Linked DNA regions of Neurospora crassa OR74A. The protein of the gene in region 1 interacts with the protein of each later gene in a biochemical or structural test. Links are inferred from orthologs where the notes say so. Each region holds a gene or a part of one and is shown on either strand. Other genes may lie near its edges. The genes, in order: NCU02496 and camk-4.

Evidence for each region.
Region 2: of the proteins of NCU02496 (region 1) and camk-4, one has a biochemical effect on the other in vitro, tested with the Schizosaccharomyces pombe proteins (2 studies listed by BioGRID). The link is inferred for Neurospora crassa OR74A from reciprocal best matches to the Schizosaccharomyces pombe genes cdc25 and srk1.

The regions. Positions count from the first base shown.
Region 1 is NC_026501.1:2,517,688-2,522,169, reverse strand, and holds the start of NCU02496 (M-phase inducer phosphatase 3), read left to right. Parts: upstream 1-1,386; 5' UTR 1,387-1,990; intron 1,991-2,049; 5' UTR 2,050-2,478; coding exon 2,479-2,702; intron 2,703-2,774; coding exon 2,775-2,848; intron 2,849-2,918; coding exon 2,919-3,129; intron 3,130-3,228; coding exon 3,229-4,384; 3' UTR 4,385-4,482.
Region 2 is NC_026501.1:5,858,895-5,863,358, forward strand, and holds the start of camk-4 (serine/threonine-protein kinase), read left to right. Parts: upstream 1-1,589; 5' UTR 1,590-2,459; coding exon 2,460-2,499; intron 2,500-2,628; coding exon 2,629-3,119; intron 3,120-3,230; coding exon 3,231-3,284; intron 3,285-3,458; coding exon 3,459-3,703; intron 3,704-3,763; coding exon 3,764-4,464. UniProt on the Schizosaccharomyces pombe protein: Delays the mitotic G2/M transition by promoting nuclear exclusion of cdc25. During osmotic stress, inhibits the G2/M transition in a sty1 stress-activated MAPK pathway-dependent manner.

The DNA.
Region 1 (4,482 bases):
AGGTTGTAACAACGAAGAGATAGTGAATGACGGCCAACGAAAACCTGGGTGAGACATTGATCGGAAAGCGTCAGATACAATTGAGGAGCCAACAACATAAACAAAACAAAAGGGAGCGATCGTATGCCGAAGTGCAAGAACGGTTATGGGGTCTCGCCGGGAGGCAACCGTGGTTCACCACCAAAATGGCTTTCCGACACAGCCATTCACAGGCTCCATCACTTGAACCGAGTCTGTGAATAGTAGAGTTTGGTTTTGGTTTATCTGCGAAATCATGTCCCATGGCTCAAATTCTTGTAACGAGCTCGATGTTTCCACTGGATTTCCAACATCACAACATGGTAGAACCAGTCAGGCTGTTCCAGGGCATCATTGATGGGTACTAGGAGAAGGCGCAGACCGAGAACTTCTTCGTCAAATAGTCGATGAACAGGTTCTTGGTGTTCAAAAGTTTTGACATTGTTTCCGAGTTCCGATCCCTTGCCTATTCCTTTCAAAGGTCACACTTCTGTCATCCCTCCCGGGCTGCCGTGTGCGTAAATGACCCTGAGTGAATCAAGAAGTATGGACCATGCAAGTAGAAAAAATAATGAGGACAGGTCAAAGTGTCAGCGGAATTGTGACATTTTACAGGTTAGACAAAGATGAGAGGTGATAGTGAATACTTGGTACTACTGCGTGGTAAGGCAGAGTTCATGTACCTCGGCGCAAAGACGCACCGAATGCAAGTCTTCAGCGAGCGCTTATGTACCTCTCTACTGCGTGGGTAGGCCCGGGGATGTGCCGCGGAGTTGACGCCCGATCCCGCGCAATAGAAGCAACTCGTGTAAACGGAAAGAATGAAATGATGCACTGCAATAATAAGCCCGCATAATGATACTGACGAAAACAAAGAAGGAGGGATGAGATGAAAGACAGAAGTCACTAGTGCCAAGTGGAAAGCTCCCGCTCTGGGCAATGTGCAGCAGACGGGACCGTACGACGGGAATTAAAGTGACACATGCCAGGGGTCTCCGAAAGCGCCCGAGCGCAGCGCTCGCTCCAGGTACTACCCACATAGAACTTCCTAGGTTGCTGGGTAACAGCCCAGTCCAGTTACCACCGGTTACAAACAACCTAACCGGGTAATAACATGTTGTAAACCTTTCGCTAAGATGCTGTAAACTCTCCTCTAACATGTCGAGGATAGCGCCGATTGCTCCTGCCTACCCACGATAGCGTCAACTCCAGTACCGCCTCGGCCTGGTGTCGTTCTCGTTGTTGGGCTTCCGTAGGTGCAACGCCGTTGCAACCCTCCATCCTCGTTGCCCCTTCCGCCAACCAGTTGAAGGCAGGACCTTGAACGTCGCCGAGTGCTCCTCCAATTTTCGGGGACCACTGAACAGGGGCAGCTAGCTCACTGAACAGCGCAGACATCCGATTTTGTCAACTTCCTACCAACCACTTGAGCGAGGTCCAAGTTTACTTGCGAGTTCTCGTCCAGCTTCTGGATGGATGTTTACAGCAGCTCCCCTCTTCGCTTTCACTCAACATTGGACCGTGACACATGCGTGCACACAACACCTACGTGCTCCTCCTTCTTACAACAACGAATGCACGTTCTGCTCTTCGACCTTTATTCTAGCTTTTCAACATAGCCAGCCCAGTTCACCCTATGCGGTCGCCCATTCGCAGTCCTCAAAAAGACTCCATCCCGTCACCCACCAGGCTGTCCGTGTGCAGCTGAGCGCTTGTGCCGAACCTCGTTCACCCCGCCCCCAGGCCGCAGGCCATCACTGCCCGTCTACCCACAATACAACGGAACCCACTGTCTACCTAAAAGAACACCTCAGGTGGCGGCCAAAAGAAGTTCTGCCGTGCGCAAAGGTTTGCACAGCTGCATACCGCCCGTGGCATTGAACAACTAGACGGAACCGACCATACTTTTAGTTTTCGAACAAGGAAAAACGGAGATTGTTTGATCCCGGCGACCACAGAGCTTCTAAAACTGGTCCGAGTTCCCTGCCTGCACTTTCGGGAAGGCATTGTTGGCTGACGGATATGGACTAGGCTTTGATCGACATCGATGTCGGCGCGTCCAGTTTACACCACTAGTTAGCTTAAGGTCTTTCTGTCATCTTGCTCGGCGACAATCTTCAAGTCCCAAGTCCAGTCCAGTCCCCTTGGTCTTCCGTGCGCGCCAACTCGAGCGGACCTTTCTCTCGGTGTCCAGGTCCATAGCATCGCGACGGTGAACCCGACAATAGCAGCTCTCGACGACAGTGACGACGATTCCACGAACGCGAATCAGCCAGCCACAGCATCGATTGGCGACCCTTTTTCGAGTGCTGCGCAAGCTTCAGTCGTATCTCCAAGAATTGGCTTTTGTTCAGTATTCAGACGGAACCCGGCCCATCGACAGACCAATTGGAACACCGATCTATGCCGAACGCCAATCCGTAGGAAAGTCGAAACTGGTTGGAGAGTTGTCACGATAATATGGAGGCTTCATCGCCCCTGGCCGCGATTCGGCCTGCTCCGCCGTCCTTCAGCCAGCCAGAAGTGCTTGGACCGCGCAATGGCAACTTGGCGCCACCAACAGGTCTCTTCAACTTCAAGCGATCCAATGCGGACTTGTTCAACACCAAACATGCAGGAAGGTCTTCGCCTAAGGGTTCGCTGGTCGCCGGGTCGTCAGAAAACTTCAAGCTCAATGAAGCAGGGTTAGCCTTTTCACTTAGAAGTCGAACAACGGATAGCATTGTCGACAGTGTTGACCAAATGGAACTTTGCAGTAGCCCGTTACCTCCGACACCACGGCGTGCGCTGTTCACCTCAACAGGTATTGAAAACGCGGTTGAAGGTCGTGGTGAGTAATCAATGGAGCGAGCAATCTGCTACATAGCTTATTTAAAGCTCGGACGCTGACAGATCTGTAGGGTATGCAACCACGCCGCCGCCTCCTGCATCTTCGTCACCTGCAGTTAACAGGTTGGACATGTCTCCGGTACCGATCAAGGCACCTTTCCTGTCACGTCTCGCCGCTAGTCCTTCTCCGGCTGCAGTGGATTCTGGCGATGAAGACACACTACCAGACTCACCTGCTGCTGTGCGGCAGCTGTCTCAAGAATCCAAGGGAATCGGTGCCGAGTAAGTTCATGCTTGACTTTTGATCAGCAAATCTTCCTGAACTCTACCCTCGTCCTTTGGTCTGTGCAGAAGCTAATCATCTCCTCTTCTCTTTGCCAGGCGAAGGAGACTTGGCTTGTCTCGTCCACCTCTGGCCCGGGCCAAAGGTTATAGCACGAGTAGTATACCCGGGCGCTCCAACGGTTCGGGGTCGGGGCTGCCGCCCTTCCGCTTCGGTGCCCGGAACCTCAAGGTACCCATCTCCCCTTCGGTGTCGTTGTCATTGAGCGAATGTTTCGAGGAATCACCCCCGCAGGAGCGCCGGACACCTGTCTTGCCGGGTAGTCCATGCTCTAATGCAGCGGCAGCGCGCTGCAAGACTCATTTTGGCAGCGGCAGCAGCATTAACAGCGTTCGCAAACGTTCTCCCACCAACAATGCCCGCACACCTTCGAACCCCTTTGCCCGGCAAAGGAAAACATTCCGCCGCTCGCTGTCCATGTTTGAGAGTCCGGGCGACATTGTCAAGCCTAAGGAGCGCACATCTCTTCCATCTAGTCTCAAGTCTGTCGTGGATGTCAACGAACCTCAGGAGCCTTTATTGCCACATTTTTTCCCTTCAGGCGAGAACGATTCTATCCCACGCATCAGCCGAGACACATTGCTCGAAGTGCTTGACGGCAAGTATGGTAGTCAGTACTCGCACAGGATGATTATTGACTGCCGCTTCGAGTACGAGTATGAAGGTGGCCACATTGACGGGGCCATCAATTACAATGACAAGGAGCTTTTGGCGAGACATCTGTTCGAGACCCCTATGGAAGGGCGCACGCTCTTGATTTTTCATTGCGAATATTCAGCCCATCGCGCGCCCATCATGGCCCGCCACATACGATCCGAAGACCGCACTATCAACGCCGAATTTTATCCTAAACTCACGTACCCCGATGTTTACATCTTGGACGGAGGCTATAGCGGATTCTTCCAGAATCACCGGGAACGTTGCTGCCCTCAAGCGTATATCGAGATGAATGACGCCGAACATGTCAACACGTGCGAGCGAGAAATGGGCCGTCTACGCCAGACCCGTAAGGGCTTTAGTAGGGCCCAGACCTACGCATTCGGGCAGCGTGAACGCAAGTCCGACAAATTCGAGGCTGTTTCGCCAACCGCGCCGGGCCGCAAGGTTTCTCGGGATGATGAGGAGGACATGATAGGAGCATCGCCCATTCTCGGCAATGACCGAAGCCATTCTAGGCGCATGGCTACTTTCTGAAGCCGAGAAATGGCATGTCCAGGCATGAACAGAGCACCACCGTTGATATCGGCTGTGATTTGCCACAATGGAGAGCGTCTGACCTCGCGCTCGGGACC
Region 2 (4,464 bases), about 3.3 Mb from region 1:
TGGATGCGTAAGTACCACAGTAGGTACTAGTCTATGTCGATTCTTCAAGAGCCCAGCGTGGCCGATAGGGGCTACGTCCGGATGACAAATATGAAATCGGAGAGGGAACTGAATGCCACTCCAAGACTGACCAGGCAGGGAGGCTCGGCTGGCAAGGGCAGTTGGGCGATTCAGTTTTGAACCACGCGACTCATGCAATACCAAGAGGTTTGAATAAAGCATCGATTTGAATTTGAACTGAAGACTTCTTTCACCTATCGGAATGCAAGCTCTCCGAACGCGCCTTCCAATAGCTTGGTAACGAGATACGCGTTATCCTGGACGCCAGAAGAGGGTGGGCCTTGGAGCTGAACTTGGTTTGACATCTGACCTTGGTCTGGATGCCCATCTAGGTAGACCTAGACCAGGATGCAAAATGATCACCTTGATGTTTGTTAGACTCGGGACGGAATCTGGTGGGGTTCAATTACATGGGTCAATGAATGAGAGAGTTTTCTGGACGATATACGATGTTAGAAAATTGGGAGCAATCATCTCGTCGTCGTCCTCGTCGTCGCAGGCAGTGTGGTTTCATAACTGCGTGGTGGTTTCCTTTTTCCGCGCTAGCTTCTTTCGGCAAGCGGTAGTGGAACGCCAGGATGACGCTCAGCTACGTCATACAAGTGGGAATCTTGGATCTGATCTTGCCGACTTGTGGAGACGCTGGACTGTTAGTGAAGCGGAAAGTGGATGCCAAAGCATGGAACAGCGCTCGAGAGTGAGAGGCAGCATTTTACGCTTTGTGCCCAATCCCATCGTTCAAACCGACCCGTCCCAATCCCCATCCATCACGCGCGGTCACCGCCGACAAACAAGGGCGGCTCGTCCTGGACAAAATAGTCGAGACCTTTGACATTATACCGTGGGTATACTCCTACTACGCATCCAGCGTTTTTGTTACACCTCTGATCTTGAGTTCTAAATAATTCCTGGATAGAAATATTCAATTGGGACTCTAGCCGATGTGAGGTTTTTTTTTTTTTTTTTTTGAATCGTTGTAATCCCTATCACAGCGAGTCTTTCCATCTCGGCGAGCGGTAGCGGACTGTTTTACTTAACCTCCTAACCTGGTGGTTGGTCTCATCTATTTTGTCTCGGACGAGGGTGGCCCCTTCCAGTGCAGACATGGTATTCTGGTCGGAGGAGCAAAAAAAAAAAAAAAAAAAAAAAAAAAAGGTAGTTACTTGAGGCCCGTATTCAACTCCAGGTAGCGTCTGTGGCTATGAGCGGTTTGTGTCATCTCGACTGACTGGCGGGACTGGACATCGACTCAAGCATCGTGCCCGCCCCTCGTGGGTCCGGTTAGGCTCAACAGCTGCGGTCTAGACAGGAGTCTGTCTGGTCTCTTGAATGGTAGGTAGCATGGCATATGGCATGGCAGCATGGATAATAGTCTGATGTAGTGTAGTAATGCGTGGTATGCGCCCGATGATGAAAGAAATGATGAAACCGAGAGGGACGAGCGAGAAAAAAGGAACACACCACACACCCTCCACCCGACTAGGTCCCGGTCACTCCCAGTCCCGGTAATAAAATAAGAACAAAACCCCTCCATGCCCCGTCGCCCTTTCCATCCTGTTTTCCCCCACCTTACCAAGCACCACTGCACACAGTCAATCTGCCTTCTGCGCGACCAGCATCTGATCATTGAGAAGTGTCCTTTGTCGGCATCGTCCGCCCTTTTCACTACACTGCATTATAACGAAACCCCGTCCAGGCCCCAGGATCATCCTTCTGTTCACGTGCGGACTTGACAACTGCGTCACTTCCTTTTGCAAATTATTCCTTGGTTCGGTCGTGCAGCCACTGTGACCTCAATTCCAGCCAATAGTAGCGCCCGCTTGCCCCGAGTCAAGCCTTCCTGTTGACTGCTGAGGTACCCTTCTGCCGCCCATTCCTCCTCCCGGCCGTCGTCATTGACTTCCGACAGACGGTTAATATCTTCTCGACACCAACGCGCGTGTCTGCGATCGCCATTTTCAACTCTTTCCAATTCCCCGAAACCATTTACAGGGCAGCCCAGCGACAGCAACGTCCTGTCCTCCACCTACAAGCCGCGCTCACCCTACCATAGCACCTCCGTGCTCATCTCTCCACATCGCCCTTTGCAAATCGGCACATTGATCCCGCCCAACACTGCCCGACCCCGCAAACGACCGCCTGCACGGAAATCCGCAGGACACCACTCGAGACACTCAACAGTCCTTCACTGCGCATTCTCGGCCACCTATTGATATTGTGACGACGCATAGTCCCAATTGCGAACAACAGTCCACCTGATTTCACTAGCTCTGCTCAACACCAGCTGAGCACCAAGGCGAGGATCCAGGTGCATCCTCCCACCGCTGTTCACCAGCCAACTCTCACAAACCTCAACCAAATCGTCATCTGATCAAAAAGCCCGAATAATATCCGACAAAATGTCGACAATACAACAGTTGAAGAACTTCATCCGACACGGTATGTCTGCTTGAGATGCTTGCTTGCACCTGCCCGCGCTCAGTACCTCTCCCCTGCCGTCTCCTCACGCCCACTCCTCCCTTCCCGATGGCAAGGAGTCGCAAGCTAATATCGGCCTTAATCAAACAGGAAAGCAAGCCCGCACTGCAAACCCTGAAGAGCCGGCGCGGACAAAACAGGCCGACCACTCTGCCACACAGCATCACCACCAGCCCACAAAGATGGCGGCCCCTGTCTCAGAACCTAACCTGGGAGGCTCTCCGCCACGCAACCACCAAGCGCCCGTTCAAGATGCCTACTCGAACACGCAAGTTGACGGCCATAACCGTGTCGCGCAGGCTGGCCATGCCGCTGCCCATTATGCCGAGGCCGACCAAAACCTAGCACACAAGACCAAGTCAAAGACCAAGGTTCCCGACGAGAATATTGTCAGGCTTGTTGCGGAAGAAAACGCAAGCAAGAGCAAATTCCCCAGGTACCCCGGCCTCGAGCGATGGGAGCTCGTCGAGAAGATGGGCGACGGTGCCTTCAGCAATGTTTACCGCGCACGGGATTTGGAGGGTAACGCGGGCGAAGTAGCCATCAAAGTTGTTCGCAAGTTCGAGATGAATAACATGCAGGTACGTGACAGCACACCGGGGATGCCCTCTTCTTCATCTTCGCCATCCTCGTTTCCTTTCGTCTTTGCCGTTTTATAAGGTTTCAATACCAACCTCCAGGGCTCACTATAGAGCAACAAACATCTCCATCCGGACTTCAAGCCAAAGGCACCAAAGGCTGCAGAGGTGCGAGAAATTTCTCTTTTGTCTATTTCCATTGTTGGTCGTCAATGTACTCTCCTCTCCTCATATGTCTCGACTGCTTTGTTATTGACGACCTGTCTCTACCCCGATCAAGCAATGGGGTAGGGACGTGCCCGCCTACTCATGTTCTGATGAGTTAACAATGACTGTGAACAGCGAGCCAATATCTTGAAAGAGGTGCAAATCATGCGCCAGCTTGACCATCCCAACATCATCAAGCTTGTCGACTTCGCCGAGTCTCGCCAATACTACTACATCATTCTTGAACTGGCGCCTGGCGGCGAGCTGTTCCACCAGATTGTGCGTCTGACGTACTTTAGTGAGGATCTCTCCAGGCACGTTATCACACAGGTAGCAAAGGCTCTGGAGTATCTGCACGAGGAGAAGGGTGTAGTCCATCGGTAAGTTGACCCACATCATCGTGCCAGTAGTTAGTGAATCTCTGCTCACTCCTTGAACAGTGACATCAAGCCTGAAAACATCCTCTTCAGCCCCATTCCATTTATCCCCTCGAAGCACCCGAAACCCAAGCAGCCAGGTGATGAGGACAAAGTTGACGAGGGCGAGTTCATCAAAGGCGTAGGTTCTGGTGGGATTGGTCAGATCAAGATAGCCGATTTCGGCTTGTCCAAGATCGTCTGGGACAAACAAACCATGACTCCCTGCGGCACTGTCGGGTATACAGCACCCGAGATCGTCAAGGATGAGCGGTACTCCAAGGCAGTCGATATGTGGGCGCTGGGTTGCGTTCTCTACACTCTTCTTTGCGGCTTCCCACCTTTCTACGATGAGAGCATTGAGGTCTTGACGGAGAAGGTTGCCAAGGGCCAGTATACCTTCCTTTCGCCATGGTGGGACGATATCAGCAAATCCGCCCAGGATCTTATCTCGCATCTTCTGTGCGTCGATCCCGAGAAGCGCTACACGATCACAGAGTTCCTCGCGCATCCTTGGATTGCCGGCTCGGGTCCTACGCCAAGAGACGAGCGGAAGAACCCGGATGGTGTGCTGCGGGCCTTCGATGCATCCAAGATTGTGGATGGAGACAGACGTTATGACTTCCGTTCTCCAGGTGCTGTCAATCTGCGCGAAGTGTTTGATGTTGGCTATGCCGTCCATCGCCAAGAGGAAGAAGGCAAGAGACGTCATAACCTTGGAGCCA